Schizosaccharomyces pombe: one gene and its partners. Changing the gene in region 2 together with the main gene of any one other region gives a genetic interaction. Each region holds a gene or a part of one and is shown on either strand. Other genes may lie near its edges.

Evidence for each region.
Region 1: mutations in cdt1 (region 2) and rtf1 together harm fitness less than expected from each alone (positive genetic interaction), as found in Schizosaccharomyces pombe (one large-scale study listed by BioGRID).
Region 3: mutations in cdt1 (region 2) and tsp0 together harm fitness less than expected from each alone (positive genetic interaction), as found in Schizosaccharomyces pombe (one large-scale study listed by BioGRID).
Region 4: mutations in cdt1 (region 2) and shm2 together harm fitness less than expected from each alone (positive genetic interaction), as found in Schizosaccharomyces pombe (one large-scale study listed by BioGRID).

Annotation. Positions count from the first base shown.
Region 1 is NC_003424.3:4,795,808-4,801,118, reverse strand, and holds rtf1 (RNA polymerase I termination factor Rtf1), read left to right. Parts: upstream 1-1,991; 5' UTR 1,992-2,190; coding exon 2,191-2,629; exon of another isoform or gene 2,630-2,676; coding exon 2,677-2,843; intron 2,844-2,888; coding exon 2,889-2,976; intron 2,977-3,015; coding exon 3,016-3,127; exon of another isoform or gene 3,128-3,165; coding exon 3,166-3,498; exon of another isoform or gene 3,499-3,543; coding exon 3,544-3,695; intron 3,696-3,742; coding exon 3,743-3,852; 3' UTR 3,853-3,924; downstream 3,925-5,311. Other genes in the region: sec24 (coincidence detector Sec24/Sfb2 subunit), read right to left, coding at 1-1,364; 20S proteasome complex subunit beta 6 Pam1, read right to left, coding at 4,963-5,311. UniProt on the Schizosaccharomyces pombe protein: Mediates site-specific replication termination at the polar replication barrier RTS1, a barrier which ensures that replication of the mat1 locus in S.pombe occurs in the centromere-proximal direction.
Region 2 is NC_003423.3:475,060-479,881, forward strand, and holds cdt1 (DNA replication licensing factor Cdt1), read left to right. Parts: upstream 1-2,332; 5' UTR 2,333-2,371; coding exon 2,372-3,640; 3' UTR 3,641-3,679; downstream 3,680-4,822. Other genes in the region: wpl1 (WAPL family protein), read right to left, coding at 1-1,461; U3 snoRNP protein Utp15, read right to left, coding at 4,144-4,822. UniProt on the Schizosaccharomyces pombe protein: DNA replication licensing factor, required for pre-replication complex assembly. Faithful duplication of the genetic material requires 'once per cell cycle' DNA replication initiation and elongation.
Region 3 is NC_003423.3:1,222,041-1,227,092, reverse strand, and holds tsp0 (tspO-like protein), read right to left. Parts: upstream 2,542-5,052; 5' UTR 2,455-2,541; exon of another isoform or gene 2,391-2,454; 5' UTR 2,354-2,390; exon of another isoform or gene 2,194-2,353; intron 2,151-2,193; exon of another isoform or gene 2,141-2,150; 5' UTR 2,120-2,140; coding exon 1,652-2,119; exon of another isoform or gene 1,184-1,651; coding exon of another isoform or gene 1,125-1,183; coding exon 1,098-1,124; downstream 1-1,097. Other genes in the region: CCAAT-binding factor complex subunit Php2, read left to right, coding at 179-1,183; BAR adaptor protein Hob3, read left to right, coding at 3,897-3,944, 3,987-4,733.
Region 4 is NC_003424.3:2,215,968-2,221,089, forward strand, and holds shm2 (serine hydroxymethyltransferase Shm2), read right to left. Parts: upstream 2,856-5,122; 5' UTR 2,833-2,855; coding exon 2,749-2,832; intron 2,603-2,748; coding exon 1,220-2,602; 3' UTR 1,052-1,219; downstream 1-1,051. Other genes in the region: Rab11 family GTPase Ypt3, read left to right, coding at 1-274, 519-599, 654-790; translation initiation regulator Gcn1, read right to left, coding at 3,288-5,122. UniProt on the Schizosaccharomyces pombe protein: Interconversion of serine and glycine.

The DNA of each region.
Region 1 (5,311 bases), on a different chromosome or scaffold from region 2:
TCAATGAGACGATGGGCAGCCTTAAGACCTGGTCCAAGGGCATTACTAGAATCACGGGTAGTTGCAAACATTGATTGAAATCGCTCGAGTAAGTTTTCAATGCCTTGTCTACATTCGCGTAAATTAAGTAACAAATCTTGATTCCTGGGTAAAAACGGTTCCTCTAAATCAGAAACAACTAGTTGGGTGGCTTCTTCAGCACCAGGGGAAACTGAAAAAAAATGCAGGGCACTGTCTACACCAATAAAAGCCACCTTTGCACGTCCTTCTTTATTGGGGATGCGATCCAATGATTCCAGAATTGCACGACTTGCAGTACCAACCATACCAGAAGATATGGATACAAACGAAATATCAATTAAAAATACGTAAACCAAAGGTTGTGGAGCACGAACCATATATTCTTGAGGAGCAATAAAATCAACAACTGCATAATTGAGCTCAGGACGTTGCCAGCGATCACGTTGGACATTTCTGAAACTGTCCCAGTCATATGACTGGGGTACTTCATTAACAATACCACAAGAATTACAGCGATAGCGATGGCCATTGTCAATAAAGATACTAAAAGGATTGATATACATACGACACCTGCGGCATCGTGATATAATAGTATCAGTAACAACTGGAACTGGATCATCTTCTTCGACCAAGCTAGTATATGGACGGATGACTAATGCAAATGGAATTTTTGACTTTTTTAACAAGCTATTTGTTGTCGGTACACAGTTTATCGTGGATCGAACATATTTGGGAGGGCAATTGGAAGTAGCTGCTCCAGTAGCGGAATAGCTTAAGGGTAAATTAATAGGAGGAGGAGGAGAGGTTAAGTCAGAAATTTCTGGTGTTTGATTGTACAAATCAACAGAAACTAACTCATTGGTAGGCATAGCTGCTGCACCATCTGCTCCAAGTGACATTCCGCCAAATTGTGCAGAGAGAGATTTAGTTCCCACCTCTGCGCGATCATGAGGATATGGTGAAGAGGATGGAGTTCGTGCCATAACGTAAGAGGGCTCTGAAAGAGAAGGGGGAGCCGGTGACGCTGCTAAGGTATTTGTAAGTTCAAACACCTCAGCAGGATACTGTCTACGAGACTTATGAGAGGTATGAGAAACGGGTGGTTGTTGATCGACAGATCCTATTATGTTGGTAGGAGCAGCACCCATAGCTCCAACAGCGTATTCACCATTGCTTACAATGCCTTCAGCTGTACCCTCAGCAACTGCCCCGACATAAGGAGCGGTATTATCTAGCTGGCCAGCAACTGGATAAACTGGCTGAAATCCTTGAGGAGGTATATTCGAATTTCCACTACTAGCTCCATAACTACCCTTTCCGTAGAAAGCGTCCTCCTGACTCATTGCTTTAGTGTATTTTTTTTTACTTACAGTGGTATATTGCTAGCAAAAAAAAGAAAAGAAACACTGAATTATTTAATAACTTTTTTGAAGATCCCTCTATTTTTCCTTCCTTTTCACAAAAAGACGTTTTTAACAGTGTTCCCTGGAGTAGGTAAATGGCAGCTACATTCGCTGGTTCAACTAACGTAGATGGAAAGTTAAGGTAATCACTGGAAAGTTAACGAGCTTTACAGTTTCGTTATTAAATACTATGTATCGTAGTAATTATATCGGTGACACACGTTATTACCCTAATAATTTTAACATAGGCAGGAACTTTGTACCTAATTGATAAAAAATAGTGATTATTAGTAAACAAAAGCCAATAGAGATATTTTATCGTTTTAATTTATTCTTTTTTTTTTTTAAGTTTGATATGAGGCAGATACCTGTAAACGTTTTCAACTAAAAAAACTCTTCTAAACCACTCATACTTAATTTTCTATTTTAAAAATTTTACATGTATATATCATAAACAAGAGAGTCACATCTTAAGAAATTTTGAAATTTTTTTAAAAATGCTCTCAAAAACCATCACTGCATGTATCGTACACTATTTAGCTACACCAACGCTCTATAATGTTACCCAATTTTAACAGGCTCACTAGTTAATTAGAATTCAGAATTGCAAAGTATCAAAAGTTCAATTATAGATTGAATAATTGAAGTTGCCTGCGCTATTTGGTTTTGTCTTACATGAACTATTACACCCCGGGTCCCTTGCTATACTGATTACCTTTTGTCAATGTTTTTTTCTTAATATTTCTTCAGACAAGTGAACATTATTATGCAAGGAAAAAACAATTTAAGTTGCAGACCGGATACAGAGGACAATGAAGAGCTCTTTGTCGATGATCAACTCTTATCACCCATTGGTGACTCGAAAAATACAAGTTCTTTCATTTACTTGGGAAACCCCATAAGCTTTCATGAATACAATTATGATGAGACTATGGTATCACCTGAAAATGTGAAAACAGCAATTGCTGGAAGTGCGAAAGACCATGAAACATGTCGAGGCTTCAAAAAAACAGGCACTACTTCATATAAAGACTTTGTATTCAGTAGAGATTACACCAACTGGACACCCACTTTTTGGGTTCTGTTAAGTCAACTAATTGATGAATTTTTGAAAGAAAGCGAATTAAACTTTGTGGCTGCGAGAGATCTTCTTATTAAAACCAAAAGACTTCCAAAACCTTTCAATAATTTACTCATTCAATTTCGTATGACACCTGAGTGCTTTCAAAAAAATCCGCTAATTCAAGTCTAGAAATTCAAGTGCCCAATGTTTCACGAAGGACTGTGTATAGGCATCTTAAGGGATATTTTAACATTCCAGGTTATGAAAGGTTTCAATACGTTAAAAAAGCGTCGTCTGGATCATGGGGAGCAAACGACATTATCACTTTGGAAAAAGAAATTGCTATGTTTAAAAAGGTATGGTCTTTAGCTTGCTGTTTTATTATAAATATTAAAAAACAGAAAAAAAATTGGTCTGATGAACAATTTCTTCAATATGTTTGGTCTGATAACCATCGTGATGAAATGAAAACATTATATAATTGTTTGTGTAAGTCAATTACTATCACTTGTTACTAATTAATAATAGATGAGCTTATCGATAGGGATAAAAAGAGTATTTACAATTATCTCCGCAGAAAATATAATCCATTTAAGAAAAAATGTAAATGGACTATAGAAGATGAGGCAGAATTGAAAAAGTATGTAGTTTACTTTCCAAATTGCAACTAACTAATAGACTTGTTGAAAAACATGGAACATCCTGGAGCTTAATTGGCAAATTGTCGAATAGACTACCAATGCATTGCAGAGATCATTGGCGCGACTACATTCAACCTGGTGAAATCAATCGTTCACCATGGACTATCCAGGAGAAAGAAAAATTAATCAAAACGGTTAATCAATACTTGCAAAGCAATCCTTCATCCCCTATTCAATGGAGTCTAATTTCTAAAAACATGAGAAATCGACACCGTCATCATTGTAGGTGGAAGTATTACACACTAATTTCCAGAGATATACATAATAGTTCCCCTTTCAAACTTGGCGATAGTATATGGTTAATTGAAAGGTACTCCAATTATAAAATTTTAAATAAGAAGCTAATTAAATTCAGAATGATGGACCTTAATGTTGCAGAGGAACGGATGATTGATTGGAAATGCTTATCAGAATATGCTAATCACCTATGGACAGCAGATGCTTGTAAATCGCATTTCGAAAGAATAAAAAAAACCTTGTTTATCGATGGACTTTCTACGTTTTCTGGTAAATTTTTGAATATAATAATTATTGTTAATATGTTAACGCTTTAGATACTTTAATTCATTTGCACAAAATGCTAAATTCTTCTCCTGAAGAAACTTACATTTCGAACTTACATGATTCTTACACCGCTTTTTCTAACGCCGATGATTTATGCTAGCTACATGAACAAATTTATTTTAACTACTTCCTCAAAGTCATAGATTTAAATTTTTTGTGTATTCATTGAGAGAATGTTCTCATCTTACTTATATTAGTAAATTCACTTTTATATTTTTTCTAGTATACATTTGTGTATGTAACCTGTTTGCCGTGTAGTCAATAAATAAAACAAATGTGGATAAAAAGGAAAAATAGTTTCTAACATTGGAGATGCCGGGAATCGAACCCGGGACCTTTTCAAGGTGCGAACTATGCGAATGAAACGTTATACCCCTAAACTACATCCCCAGTCGATATGATGTTATAATTTAACCCATTATTAATAAAAGGTTAAAAAAAAGAACGAATGTCAAGCTATAAAATAAAATAATCATCATCATCATTGATTAATTTAGCAAGGGTGCCTGCATCTAGTTTTTTTATCAGTCAATAACTCATACATTAACCGCATTCATAAGAGGCTATTTTGACAGGTCATTTCTGAATTTTTTGAATTAAATTAATAGTACACAGAGAGACATAAATGAAAACTAAGTAAGTTTCATTAATAATACATGAATACAGAAGTGATGCCCACAAAATAACAAATCAGATAATTCTATTTACTTACCCATCATAAATTTTTATTCATTGATGCGAAAATAAAATATGGATGAAAAGAGGTTGATTGAAGAAAAGTAAAATCATTAAATAATTTTTTCTTTATGATAAATTAGCCAAGCGTCTAGTGATTTCATAGAGTCAAAGAACGGAATTTAAATTACTGATGTACTGAAATCCTGATTTTTATGTCAAATATTCTATCACTTCCTAACTAATCCTTTTCATAAATATGACTAAAAAAATTACAAGTTTAAGTTGTTTCGAACTTATCCTCTACACATTCATAAATACGCCATGAAACTATGCAATGTACATCAAAGACAAAAAAAAATGTTTAACTTGTAAAATAAATTGAGACTAGGCTTTTCAAAATAGGGATATCTCCGATAAAATCTCATACATAATCATGCAATCCGAAATTGGAATTGAGCTTGACAGGCAGGCTGCCATTCTAGGAAGCTATATCTGTGACAGTGGAACATAAAAAAGTCATATTTACAAAAATCTAATCCTTCTTCAAAGGAATAATTCTTGTCTCTACACCTTCTTTTGTGATAATCTTAACAAGAACTGAATCACCAACCTCGATGTGTCGTTCTCCAGCACTTGTAAATGCATCAGTAGTAATCTTCATAGCTTCCTCCAATTTTAAAAGTCTCCTTGGCTTTCTCTCTTTTCCATGTGAACCAGGAACGTACTGATTATGTAAGTTCACTTGATTGTCGAGGAATGGAGTAATGAAGTTTGCAGCGGATCCACCAGCACGGCACCATTCCCGCTCATAAGAGCCAACAGGATCAAAAGAATAAATCTCTCCTTTTCCCTCTTTATCGATGCCGGCAACGGTTGTATAT
Region 2 (4,822 bases):
CTCAACTAGCCCTAGTAAAAGACCAAGGATTAAGATAATTAGTTCTCGTGTAGTTTCATCATCGGACGAAAAATTAGAAAACTTTTGTAAAATTTTATAAGCAAACAATGGGACTTCTGATTTAGAAACCGCTAACGCATGATCACTGTTAGAATTAACTGTTTGAATCAAAGTACGCAACAATTTTTCACTGCATGCATGGACAACTGTATCGTCAATTTTTGGTGAATTTGTTTCATTGTGTTCATCAATTAAAATTTGTAACTTTGAGGATAAGATCTGTGAAACCTTCTGAATCTTTTCTGATCCCTGGAAATCCGTAAATTTTTCTAAAGAACTACAAAGTGCATGAAGTAAGAAGTTATTGCTTCCATCGTTTTCCTTCAAGATGGGGTAGGATTTTTCTATTAAAAGATTGATTAATTCGGTAAACAACTCGCTTTCCGCAAAAACTCCCGAGGACGTCTTCATAAGAGCGATAGCTGCAAGACTGATAGAATCAGAAGAAGCAAGAGACTCATTGCTAAAACTAAAAGTAAGCTCTGCCTTTATAACGAATTCTTGAACGGCTCCCTTTACACTTTTTGGTAAGCTTTTTGCCAAAATTGAAACCGGTACCTGCGGTTCTAAAGTAATAGCCGTTTGCAAAAGAAGTTTAACATTGTTTGAGTAAGCATCAAGCAAGGAACTCATGCAATCCATTTCATTAGCCATAGTTGCAAATATATAAATCTGCAAAAAAGTGTGTAAAGTATCTTTAGGATCAATTTCTTCAAATATTCGCAAGAAGACATCCCGTATCGACTTTAAGCATAAACGAAATGAATTGTCAAACATTTTTTCAGCGATTCCTATTAAACTCAAATAGCGAGAAGCAGAAGAGTTACCTGAGAAAGTCACTCCGTCCACTAAGTATTCAATTTCATCAACGATCCTTTGCTGCTCTCCAGCAAAGCGAAGTTCATGTATACTTTTCATTTGAATTTCATCATCTTCTGATACGTCTTCCTCTATCAAAAAAGCACGTTCTGTACCAATAGTATGGTTGGTTGAATCCAATTCTCGACCAGAGGATACTTCACGGGGTACAATTGGCTGAGTATCTAATCCTTCCTCCATCAAATACGATCTTTGTTCCCGATAGGTAGTGGAAGAATGGTTTGCGGAAGCATCAATACTACTACAGCTCGCGGACCTTTCCAGTCCTGTCTTATGAGAACCGTACTTTGAATTCTGAAGTCCATTTCTTAAAATTTGTTTTACCGGTGAAGACGGTAAACTCAAATCAGGATTACTAACGACCCTTTGCTTTTTATGCAGTCGTTTAGACACGGTCTGTCCTGGCGAGCGCTTTTGCTTGTTTAACTCTGAAACTGTCACGTCTAAAAAGTTCCAAACTTCCGATTCCGAAGAAATTCTCTTCAAACCATTATCTTTTTCCTTACATTTTCCTCTTTTCATTTCAAGGTTTCTTCAATCCGCCTGGCTTGACATCGATTCTTTACAAAAATGGAGGAACACGGTCGTACCAACTCACAATGTAGCTTGTCGAGTGAGTGAAAACCTTCGAAAATAGAGCTTAATAACTTCTTGAGCAAAGAAAAAAGAAAATAGGGTCCTTGATGAGAAATTCGTTTTTTATACTCAGTAATTTTAGAATCGTTTTTCTATTTGTACTTGGTTGATTTCAATCGGTCCTTATAGATATTTGAGTCACATTGTTACTCTACCCAGTATAAATAGAAAAGACTTAGTCGATAGAAATCATACAGGGCATCTTTTTATTCATTTATTATAGCAACTTATCCACTGATAGTAAAAAAGTTAACTAAAAGTTTTGAATTCGTACAACTTATGGAAGACCATAAGTGGACGAGTGGCTATTTGACACAAGTTTGTTTTCAGAGAGCCTGAACTTGGTGCAACACCTTTATTATACAGAAATCATTGTGACATGTAACATATTATTGAAAATTTCGACAACGAACAACTCAATAATATCTCGCAGAGCAAAGGAGTTATTCAAAATTTATATAACGATGCATCCTGTAATAATTTTAAACTCGTATAAGAGATTCTATAAAAACTTCGGAAAATGAAAAGCTGTAGTTAAAAAATTGTTTTGTGAATTTTGTACAAGTGTTGGAACTTATTTATTCAATATAATCTACTGAATCATATAGGCTAAGTAAGACATAAACTGATTAGTCGGACAAATGTGAACTAGTTAGCAAGCGCGACACGATAGCTACGCGACGCGTCAACAAACGCGACACGCTCAAATTTAATATAACCCTCGATATAAATGAAATGTCGCGCCCTATATAGTCACGACAACAATATCCTTATTTTTGGATTTTGTGTTCAAATCATGAGCGCTGGATCGCAAACAAAATTGAACTTCTCTGTCCGTAAAACTCGATCCTCATCAAAAAGGTCGAATGCGGCCATTATTGAGCCACCCAAAAATCCTGAGGATTCTCAAATAATACCAGCTGTTAAAAGGCTGAAAGAGAACTTGGACACTGAGTCTTTAGAACAAAATGAGGTTTTACCCCCAGTTAAAAATGAATCAGTTCTTTTCTTAGAAAAGGTCTTTAATGCAGTCGACATATGTGTAAAATTTCACCTCTCCATCAATACCAAACCAACCTTTGTGCTGTTAGAAAATAAAGTCTCTGGTCTCACCAAAATCTCCTTAAAAATAACTCATCTCGCTCAGATTTTAACCGTATGGCCAGAGTCATTTGCTATTACCCCATGTTTTACTATTCATCAAGGAAAGCGTGTTGCAACATATGAACTGTCATACCCTCGCAATGCGAATCTTCCTGAAGCCTTCTCCCGCTCCATTGAATTTAAACGGAGACTAGAAAAATGGTTGTTAGAGCATTGTTCTGAAACTGAGATTCCTGCTCAACAGTTACAAGCTTTACCCAGTCTATCCAAGAATACTGTTAATGAAAGTTCACTAGTTCGAAAGCTCAATTTGGAGAAATCAACAAGTCGCGAGTTACGTATTCCCACACAAACTCTAGAACCAAAATTCACTACTAACACGGCAAAATATGCTAATGAGTTAGTCTCGTGTAGCATGCTTGACAGTTCGTCCACTTTGTCAAAGTCAGTGAATTCAAAAATCAATTTGAAATCCCATCAAAGTTCTTCATCTGTTCAAAATTCATCGCGTAAGCTAACATCATCTCAGTTAACTTTGAGACAATCTTCTCTGTTCGATCGCGTGCGTAAAAAGCAAAAAGCAATGGAAGCAAAAAAAGCTGAAGAATTTAAAAACAACCTAGTTGTTCATACTCTAGCAAAAGAAAAGGTCTCATTTGTCCGCATTATTGATCTCATTTTTGTTCAGCTTTCCACTTGGCCAACTAAACGATCTTTTTCTATGTCTGAAATTGTGACAAGCATGCAAATGTCGATATCATCAAGCTTATCACCTGACCAGTGTGCCAAAGCAATTGAGTTGCTTTCAAAAGCTTTGCCTGCTTGGTGCACTATCAATCTTCTTGGTAATATTCAAGTAGTCACATTCAGCAGGATTGTTAATGGGAAACCATACTTGCGATCCCAATTAATTGAAGAATTGCAAACAAAGGCTAGCATCACTATTCTTTCAAATTCTTAATTGTAGGCGATGTTTCGAATGACATGCCTAAGATCACCACTGCTGGCAGTGGTTTAACGTTTACTATCTTTTACGATCTATATAATTTCCATCACCAATATTATGATACTATGGAATCTTTCATTAATTTACTTTTGTTATTATGTTTTTGGTTGATTTACTCTTCTAGGTACATGAAATCCGGTTATCCTTTTTAACAAGCTACAAAATTACTTTTTTTTAATAAATAATTATTTCCTTTAAGACCACTTAACCTGCCATAAATCCCAAGTTTTTGTTTTTCTGCGAATACTTTAAATTAACACCCAAACATTGAATAAAATTTTTTGATATTTACCAATTCCAGCGGCAAAGGGTGGCAGTTATTGCTGTAATTAAAAATCTCAAATAAGGCGCCGTTTTTAATAAACAATCTGAGTGAATCATATCGATAATGTAAAGGTTGCTAGTTAGAACACACAAATTGAGGTATAACTCGCACATTAAGATATCATAATCATTGGTCAAGCAGACAACATCTGAAGCATACCAACCAACTCATTTGCCCTTTGAGTAACCGCTACTTCCTGCTCAACTTTTTCACGAAGCTTTGAAATTGCATTTTCCACCATTACGCTGCCCCCAAGAGCAGCTCCGTATATATCTAAAATGGTGCTAGTAACTATACATAAAGTTTCGGAGAAACGAGGGTCTCTTATATATTTTCTTAAGAAGTTTATCAAAGGAGTAAGAGATAAATCATCTCTGTTAGACAATGCAATCCGTAACCCTCCAACATGAAGAAGCTCAATAAGCATAGTTATGATAAGAACAGGTGATCCGTTCTCCAATACCATATCCAAAGCATCAGAGTAACAAAATGATTTTAAAGCTTTGTCGAAAGGACGAAGTCTTTTACGTCTAGCCTCTTCGACATAAAATTCATCGTTCTCGCCCTTATAGATTTGTTTCTTTTTACCTACTACACCAAAAGCACTTCCGACGCCCCCTAAGAAAGGAGTTTTTGAGCTCGTTTGCTTGGTTATACGTCGAGTCCGTTGCGATAATGTACCGTTCGACATACCCACAACTAAATTGCAGCTATCCGGAGAAAGTCCCATAGATAAAATAGGGCCAGAATATTTCATGCCATGGACAACTTTCCAATCGGAGATGTTATAAATTTTCACATGTCCGTCTAAA
Region 3 (5,052 bases), 750 kb from region 2:
TTTACCGATATGTAAAGAATAGCTGCTTACCATTGGTAGTCGCTAGCGCCTGCGGAGTTACAAACCACCTAAACCAACCAACCGACCAACGAGACGAATATACCGTAACGAGCAGAATTTTGATTCCTGAGATCCTCCCAATAGTTAGAGCAATTGAAATAAGAATAGTCATTTTCCAATGAATCCATATGAGCCGGTCGAGGGGCTTTACGTGAATGCAAAGCAATACCATCGAATTTTGAAACGTAGAGAAGCTCGCGCAAAGTTAGAAGAGAGATTGCGTGGTGTGCAGACTACGAAAAAACCATATTTACATGAATCAAGGCATAAGCATGCTATGCGACGACCTCGTGGTCCTGGTGGCCGATTCTTGACTGCTGACAAAGTATCAAAATTGAGAGCGCAGGAAGCTGCAGAGGCAGCTGCTAATGGAGGAAGTACAGGAGACGATGTTAATGCCACAAATGCCAATGATGCCACCGTGCCTGCAACCGTTTCTTCTGAAGTGACTCACACGTCTGAAGGATATGCGGATAGCAATGATTCAAGACCTAGCTCTATCTCCAACTCGTCTGAGTCTCCAGCTCCTATCAATTCTGCCACAGCATCTATGTCTCCTGCTAACAATACTTCTGGAAACAACATTACTTCTCCAAATGTCAGAGGCGAGCTAGACATGAGTGGTAATATTGCCATGTCGGGTGGGCCCACTAATACCGCTTCCACCTCGGGGCCAGTGCCTCATGATATGACAGTGCTCCCACAGACCGACTCAAACACATCGAATCTTATGTCCAGTGGTTCTCAACTAGGCAGTTTTGCTACAGCTTCTACCAATGGCAACAACTCTACTACTACTACTACTTCGTCAGCTGCTCATCCAGGGTCATTTCATAAAGGTACTAATGATTATTCATCTACACTAGCTGGAAATGAGCATAGTGCTTTTCCTGGTCTGGATGTGTATCACGATGATAGCGTGTCTGCAGGTGCAGCTTTTATACCACACAATCCAATGGATTCGATTGATCACCTTGATGTCAATGATCCTACAGCCACAGGTCTCCCTGTACTACCAGCGAGCGATATCGATCCTCTTAATTTAACAGGCAATACCCAAGATTCTATGATAATTGGTCAGCAAACATATCCCTCACACGGTTCTTCAGGAACCATGAAGTAGTCAACTAATTAAGGCTGAGAGAGATACAAAACAATCACAAGACTGTGTATAGGTTGTCGACCTACCGACAAAGTTCAATTTAGGACTGCAATGTTGTTGGTGATTTTTTGAGAAAGAAACAAGTCGAAATCACTCAGTCATGGCCTTTTTGCATATCATATTATACTCATTATTTTTTTAGTCACCGATTTATTATCCATCAATTTGTTTTGACTTTTTTCGTTCTGCCCAATTTTTTTTTTTTATTTAACTCATATCCCTCCTGCTGTCTTTTTCTTATTCCAATAATATTTTTTCTCCGACCTGATTCTTCTGTTATTGTTTTTTTAGTGTTTTTTTTTCTGTTTCTTTCAAACTTTGATCGTGCAGCTTAAGCTCTTTCTTAAATGCAACAATACATTCTACTGTCTCATGTCATGCTTTTGACTCTCTTGATCTACATCAACCTTAATTAGTGACATTACTTACCAAGTAGCCAGCGTATCCCAACCAGGCTAAATAAGGAATTAACCATTTGGAAGCCGTTGGTGCAAGAGGCCACCATGTCTTTGCAAGCCAACCAACAAGTCCCGTCAAAATGCCGAGATCGGCAAGAGCCAATTTTGGTTTTGCTAATCCGTAGAACAAGGGCATCCAAGCAAAGTTAGCGGCCAACTGTGCAATGTATAAAATGGATCCATTTCGAGAGGCATTCGTAATCATCAAAGGGTCAGCCTTGTACGCCAAATGGGATGCATATCCCATTGTTAGGTATAGTAGTGTCCATGCTGGTCCAAAGGCAGATGCAGGGGGGTGGAACTTTGGTTGCTTTTTGTTCTCATAATCCTTTCTTGGCTTGTAGGAATTCCCAATGAACCAGCCGCAGGCGACTGGAACGAGAGAAGCGGACCACCAATTTTTGGAGATGCTAGTGAATACTTGATAGTTCAAATCCATCACACTTAATAATATCGTTTACTGTTGATTAGCGAAATCGGGAAAAAAAAATTCCACGAATGTAAAGAGTACTAACAACGACTGCTACTAAAAAACCATAAGTATTTCGAATCTTAATGCAGCTCGTTTACAAACAGCAGAGATAATGTCGAGATACAAAAGGTCTTTCAAACCATGCTAAGCAAATAGACATGGAGTAGCTAGAGTTAAGTTTGATAATTAAAACTGACATACATTAAACTAGAAATTTGGAGAAGAGTTGTTGAAACTTCTAATTGAATTGAAGATTAGTAAAATTGGACCATAAAGCTTAACCATCTTTCAATCTTCCATACATTTTAAAAACGGGCACAGTATCGATATGAGAGAAATACGATACTAAACTAAAATAAAAGGAAATACTTAATTGTAGTTTGATCTTGGAAGCTACTCGAATGTATAATTCACCATATTTATAACCTCGTCTATTACGTCACAGAAGGGAAGGAGGAGCGAGGTATTGGGGTATAATACGTGTTCATACTGCGTAAGGTGGTGGTAGATGTGTCTCGCTAAAAAGTGTTTATAAGGAGTTTTCCATAAGATAATATTTTCAGTACAACTAAATTTTTTATATTATTAATATTATATTATAAAATTATGTATATCTATTAGTAGCAGCGCTTGTTTTCTGTAATAGAATATATTTGGGCTGGTCAAATGCGGTTAATTATCATCACACAGATGAGATTTATGGGCAAATTTAGTTATAAAATTAGATAAGACAACAAAGAGAGAAGAAAGGTTTATTTCGGTGCTTTTGTTTCTTACTTTCAGAAGAATCTTTCTCTTGGGCATTATCTGGATGTCTTACTGCCCACAGAACAAACAAACTGTCATTGAATGGCTGAGTTCTTGTTTCAATATCTAATATCGCTATACAATAGCTCTCAAAGTAATGCACCACTACTACAACTTAAGTTCTTCACTTTTTGAGTAAGGATGCAAACTATGAGACCGGGTTTTTTTAGCTCAAATGTCGCTGAAAAGCGTTTTCTTTATAGTTTTATCATGAATGATCTCATATATTGATAAGTAGCAATCGTGTCTTTCCATGTCGAAGCCTCAAAACATTATATCCATATAATGCAAAACCATTTATTCCACCACTTCTAATGAAATTTATAAGTTGGTAAAATGTCCGTATTTCAAATTGCTTCTCCACAATATCTTCCATTTATGAGCAAACGATATTACCTCTATATTGTCAAGTTAAAATGTTTACATTGATATATTATATTAAACTATAACATAACTATATTACCTTATAAGGCGATTTCTGCTGGATGCAGTTAGTGAACAAGAATTATCTGAGGATAGACCTCTAATTGCAGTCAGAGATTTACTACAGATGATTATACAAGAAAAATTTAGATATATTTTTTAAGCGATGTAATTTATTGATAGTGACATGAAAGTAAGCCAACCCTCGAAACCCAAATTTACCACCATTATGCTCTTGCTCTATCAATTAAACACAAAATTAACGACACGCTTTTCATCCTTATCTTTTTATAATTGCATTGTGAAATAAACTATCATTATTCTATTTAACGCAATGATAAACTTCGCAATCAGGCTTTACGTTATGGCTTTGCTTCCGTGAATTGTTCCCTACGCGAATCCTGCTGAATCCACTAAAAGATCCAATGCAGCTTAGCTAGCGAACATTAGCGCAGCGATCAACTGACATAAGATATCTGGGTATGCCGACGCTTCTCTTTTCCATATCACAAAAATGAGTTGGCATGGATTCAAAAAGGCCGTTAACCGAGCGGGTACCTCGGTATGTATTTGAGTGTTGAAGAATTGTCTAACATTGTGGTAGGTTATGATGAAGACGGGTCATGTTGAGCGAACGGTGGATCGGGAATTTGAAACAGAGGAAAGACGTTATAGAACTATGGAATCAGCTGCAAAGAAGCTTCAAAAAGAAGCCAAAGGTTATCTCGATGCTTTGAGAGCCATGACTGCGTCTCAAACTAGAATCGCTAACACAATCGATGCATTTTACGGTGATGCTGGATCGAAGGATGGTGTCAGTGCATACTATCGACAAGTCGTCGAAGACTTGGACGCCGATACCGTAAAAGAGTTGGACGGTCCTTTCCGGACAACGGTGTTGGATCCCATCTCAAGGTTCTGCAGTTACTTTCCCGATATTAATGCCGCTATCACGAAGCGTAATCACAAATTACTTGATCATGATGCTATGAGGGCTAAGGTTCAAAAACTGGTCGACAAGCCTTCCAACGACACTACTAAGCTTCCCCGTACCGAGAAAGAAGCAGCCATGGCGAAGGAGGTCTACGAGACACTCAATAATCAACTGGTCAGTGAGCTTCCGCAACTAATTGCTCTTCGTGTGCCTTATTTGGACCCTAGCTTTGAAGCCCTTGTCAAAATTCAGCTCCGCTTTTGTAGGGAGGGATATGAGAAAATGGCTCAAGTTCAGCAATACTTTGACAACTCTGTACGCGAAGACTATTCCAATGGTTTGTTGGATGATAAAGTTGAACAAGTTTTACAGAGTATGCGGGATCTTTCCATCGCCGGTTTGAACAACAGTCAGTAGACATCGGTTTTTTAAACACGATTGTATGTGTGCATAGCGCTATCACTCTGTTTTCTCTTTCCTTTTCTCCTCCGAAATAATTGTTACTACACGTAACCATGATCTCTTATCCCTCAATACTTTTTGTTTAACATATCCTTTCTCTTTTACTACTTTATTACCATCTTATCTTGTTTATCTGAAGTGGTTCACGGAATGTTTTCAATTTATTCAATTTTTTGTGATACATAAATATTTTCCATACTTATCTATCCTCGAGTATTTTCTATTGGTGTTACTGGAATTGAAGGGAAAGCCAGCACATATTTATTAAAGACTC
Region 4 (5,122 bases), on a different chromosome or scaffold from region 2:
ATTGTTCTTGACAACAAAAAAATTAAAGCACAGATCTGGGATACTGCCGGTCAGGAACGTTATCGGGCCATTACCTCAGCTTATTACCGTGGTGCTGTTGGTGCTCTGATTGTTTACGATATCACAAAACAATCTTCATTCGATAATGTGGGCCGCTGGTTAAAGGAGCTTCGTGAGCATGCAGACAGCAACATCGTTATCATGCTTGTTGGTAATAAAACGGATTTACTACATTTAAGAGCTGTATCTACTGAAGAAGCCCAGGCATTTGCTGGTAAGTAATTTTGTTGGTGAGATATGGAGTTGTTCGGACGGGAAGTAGTGAAACCGGCTTTAGCCGCTCTCACTTTATTCCGTTCATCGTTTTTAGCAATTTTGAACTGCTTGAAGCGTAGAAGATCTCTTTTTGTTTTGAAATATTATTCACCTTGTCGATTCCATTCTCTGTTTATTAAGCACATTTGTTTGCCTCTGATTCGTCATAATTTTTTGAACATAATTAACTAATGTTTTTACAGCTGAAAATAACTTATCTTTTATTGAAACCTCCGCCATGGATGCTAGCAATGTTGAAGAAGCTTTCCAAACAGTTTTGACTGGTATGTTTATTCGTACTTGCTTTGATTTCTTCAAGTTTTACTAATCTAGCGTAGAAATTTTCCGAATTGTCTCCAACAGATCACTCGAGGCTGGAGACGACGGTGTTCATCCTACAGCTGGTCAAACGCTTAATATCGCCCCTACCATGAATGATCTTAATAAGAAGAAGTCTTCTTCCCAATGTTGTTAGATGGTTATCACGGATTCGTACCATTATTTTACCTCGTTTCTCTTCATTTAAAAACTCCACCCCTTTATAACATTTAAGGTGCCTTATGATTATGAAATCTTTAGCAGGTTAGTCAACCATTTATTAGGGCTGTATCCTTTAATAAAGGGGTAGATATTTTGCCTAATGCTAATATTGTCTACTATGGATTTACCGTCCTTCTTTATACACGCTTCAGCATAATTTTATCCCCATTCCTATGCAGCATATAAGTGTAACACATTATTACCTCTGTTTATTATATGATATTTGTAGGGTTACTTTAATAGAGAATTTGTCCAGATATTTTCATTATTCATACAGCTCATGTTTAATTTCCATGATATATCCTTTATAAGAGAAAGTAACAGATGATAAGTATGAGATAAGAGCCAAAAAGTTAGAGACAGCTTAAACGGGGAAATCAAATTTTCCAGCCCAAGTTATAACTTCTTTCTTCAGTTTGGCGATTTCAGAGAATTTAGAACCATCACCCACATATGCTTTGAAGTCTCTAAACTTCGATTTTCCTTCCTTCAAAGCAGCTTCATTTATTTTCTTGGTCAAAGATACAACTTCATCAATTAGCTCTACCACTCTCTCAAAATCCTTCTCATCAAAACCGCGAGTAGTGCAAGCTGGAGTTCCCAGACGTAATCCACGTGGAATTAAAGCAGACTTATCTCCGGGCACAGTATTCTTGTTGGCAGAAATATTTACAAGCTCTAAAATACGTTCGACACGGGCACCATCTACACCTTTGTCGGTCAAATCAACAAGAACCAAGTGAGTATCCGTGCCACCTGAAACTAACTTATAGCCACGAGTAATAAATGCATTGGCCATTGCCTTGGCGTTACTTAGAACGTCCTTTTGGTATTGATAGAATTCAGGAGTTTTTGCTTGTCCAAGGGCGACAGCTAACGCAGTAATTGTATGATTATGGGGGCCGCCTTGATGTCCAGGAAAAACTGAGAAATTGATTTTATCCTCTAATTCATATAAAATTGGATTACCACGTTTATCGTGAGAACGAGTACCTTTTCGATAAAATATCATAGCTCCTCTCGGTCCACGTAAAGACTTATGAGTCGTCGTAGTAACAATATCGGCGTATTCAAACGGAGAAGGAATTACACCGGCAGCTACTAAACCGGATATGTGAGCCATATCACAAAGCAAATAGGCATTGCACATTTCCGTAATTTTACGCATACGCTTGTAATCAACGAGTCGTGCATAAGCACTAGCGCCTGCAACTATAACTTTAGGACGAAATTGTATCGCAGCCTTTTCCAAACTATCATAGTCAATAATACCAGTTTCCTTATTTACGTTATATGGCATGGTGGAAAAATAAGTCGAGACAGCTGAAATAGCTTTCTGGGGAGTAGAGAAACCATGAGATAAATGACCGCCATGGGGTAAATCTAAACCCATTAGGCGATCGTGTGGCTTCATTACTGCTTGATAAGCCTGTAAGTTGGCCGGAGACCCAGAATGGGGTTGTACATTTACTCCCCATTTTTCCCCATCCAAATGAAAAGCTTCTAAAGCTCTCGTTTGACATAGTCTTTCAGCTTGATCTATAAATTCATTACCACCATAATATCTTGCACCAGGATAGCCTTCACTATATTTGTTTTGCATAATACTTCCGAGTGCATCCATCACAGCTCTTGAAGTAAAGTTTTCGCTAGCAATTAAAGCTATCGACTCTTTCTGACGGCTTTTCTCAGATTCCAAAATCTTATACACTGTCGGATCACATTCTGCCAATGGTGCTTTGAGTAACTTAATTATCGTTAGAACTTTATTAGAACACTTCATAAATCATTTGAGCAAGTCAATCTATCGCCTGTTGATAGTAGCAAACAGCACAGATAGAAAATACAGTCATTGCTTGCTCCAAAAAAGCGCGTTTAAATAAACTTCTTTACCTTTTTTTGATTAGCAGAAAGCGCATAAAAGCGCTTGGGAATTGAAGAGTAAGAGTTCTTGACGAATTGACGAAGAACTGCCATTGTGGTGATAGGTAAGGTGTCCTAAAACTGAAAGATAAAGTTGATAAAATTTAAGTAGAACTTGGCGCGTCCGAAAAACTTTTACAAACTAAAGTTTAATAACAATAAAGAATATTAAACTATTAGGTGGGTCAAATTAGAAAATTCCTTTTGGAAAGTTCTACTTCGCAAATATTTACCCCAAAGTAAGTACTATGATATTGAAAGTAAAAAGTAAATAAAGATGTCTTTCTTTATTAAGTTTACACATTTATAACACAAAGTCATTAATTTCTGATATTGTAACTAAATCTGATACGAAACTGAAGTTTAAAATTGCTACACCATATATTGATATCGTCAACACTTTACAGAGATATTTTATAAACAAAATGTTTTCATTCATCTATACCCAATCTTTTTTAACGTTACAACTCAAAACATGAATTGGAGTACTTCCAAATTTTGAGTTGGGATTAAGGATCATTAGTGGAAACTTCATTGTCCCGTCCTACAGCATTGATTTCCGCAAGATCCTCAACCTCTTCTAGTTTTACTCGCTCACTGCCAGAATTTATACGGTCACGTTCGGCAGCTGCTAATTTCACGGCAACTCTACGACTGTAGTCAACAAAACTTCTTGCTCTTGGCCCTTCTAGTGTCTCAATATACTTGTTTAAAACACTGTCATCTTCAACCAATTGGAACAAAGCCAAAAATGCAGCTTCTGCTGCAAGTTTTACGGGAATCACAATGGCCCTAACACAACCGAATATCGCAGGAGCTAGAATGGAAATATGTGGTTTAATAAGACTATAATTTTCCTTGCTCACAACCCTTATGATTAAAAGTGCGAGACGTCGTGAATCTTGAGAAGTTGAAGGTGGAGCCTCGATGTTAACCTTCAGTGCCTCAACTAAATTCTTGGCATTTCCGAAACTCTGTGGAATATCAGCCAAAAGTGCTTTACCAAGAGCCAAAATACCATTTTCAGCAATTGTAACTTCCTTCTGTAAACTCGCAGTTGAGATAATCGAACAAACTATGTCTGATAACTTCAACTCAATAATTTTTTGAGAACCAAACTTCACAGCAGCATTCAATATCAGTACCGAAAATTCAGACTGAATCTCTAAACTCAAAACCTTACTTTCTAACAGCTGCTTTGCTTGAGCGTCAGGTAGATGACTGAATAATGCACCGTATAACTTGGCGCAAATTACCATGTGTTCACTACTTTCTGCAGATATTTCGTCAAGGAGCTGTTCAATGGCTTCTGCGGATGCTTCATTCATATTCTGCCCAGACTTTGAAACAACAGCAAAAAGTGCGTTAAGCATAGCCTTACGAACACCCGCATCGGGAGTCCGTGCACCAGATACAAGCTCCGTGATAATGGGAGCAAGTCTTGTTTGTAAGGTAATCAGAGTTCCTAATGCTGTTGCTGCACGACTCCGAATGACTTCGCTAGATGGATCACCCAAACATTTTGCAAATGTCCTCTGCAATTGGGGCAAAAACGGGCGCAAAAATGTAGAGATTTTAGATAAAATAATATTAAGCGTATACAGAATAGCGCACTTAACCTCGACCGGGAATCGTTCACCAATAATACGAATTAATGGTCCTGTTATTTGAGTAACAAAAGGACGAAGTTTGCTTGGTTCAGTCTTTAAAACAATGTCTGCAATACCTAAAGCAGATTGTTCTCGCTGATCCATTGTTCCATGCATTAATCCGTAAAGGAAAATAGGTAAAATGGAATTGACGCCCTGAGCAACTTCAAACGCCGGAAGATTAACGCCTTGAGATCCCACATCGCGAAGGCTATGATAGGCAATTGAAACTAAAGAATCCAACTGGTCTTTGCGAAGAGCCGAAACAAGAGTATTCTGAGCAGCAACTGCAGCAACCACAACATCTTGACTCTTGTCTTCGAAGAGAGTAATAAAATGTCTAACCCAGTCCCCAACGTACCTATAGTAATCGAGTTTACAGTTTTGGAAAAAGACTAGCATATGCTCAGCAGCAAATAATCTCTTTCTGAAATCTTCACTTTCAGAAAACGAGTAAAAATGAGCCATAAGAATTTGGAGTCCTTCTTGATCCTTCACAGACAAATTAACTTTATCAATTGCTCCATTCAAAGCAACAAGATCATCTCCAGTTGAAGCTAGAGAAGATTCCATTAGCGCATTTAGAATGGAAGGTAATCTTTTATTCAAGGTTACACCAGCAACTTGAGCCAAAGATGATAAAGCACGAGCATTGAAAGCAGAAACAGGTTTTTTAATAAGAGTAGGGATGAGAA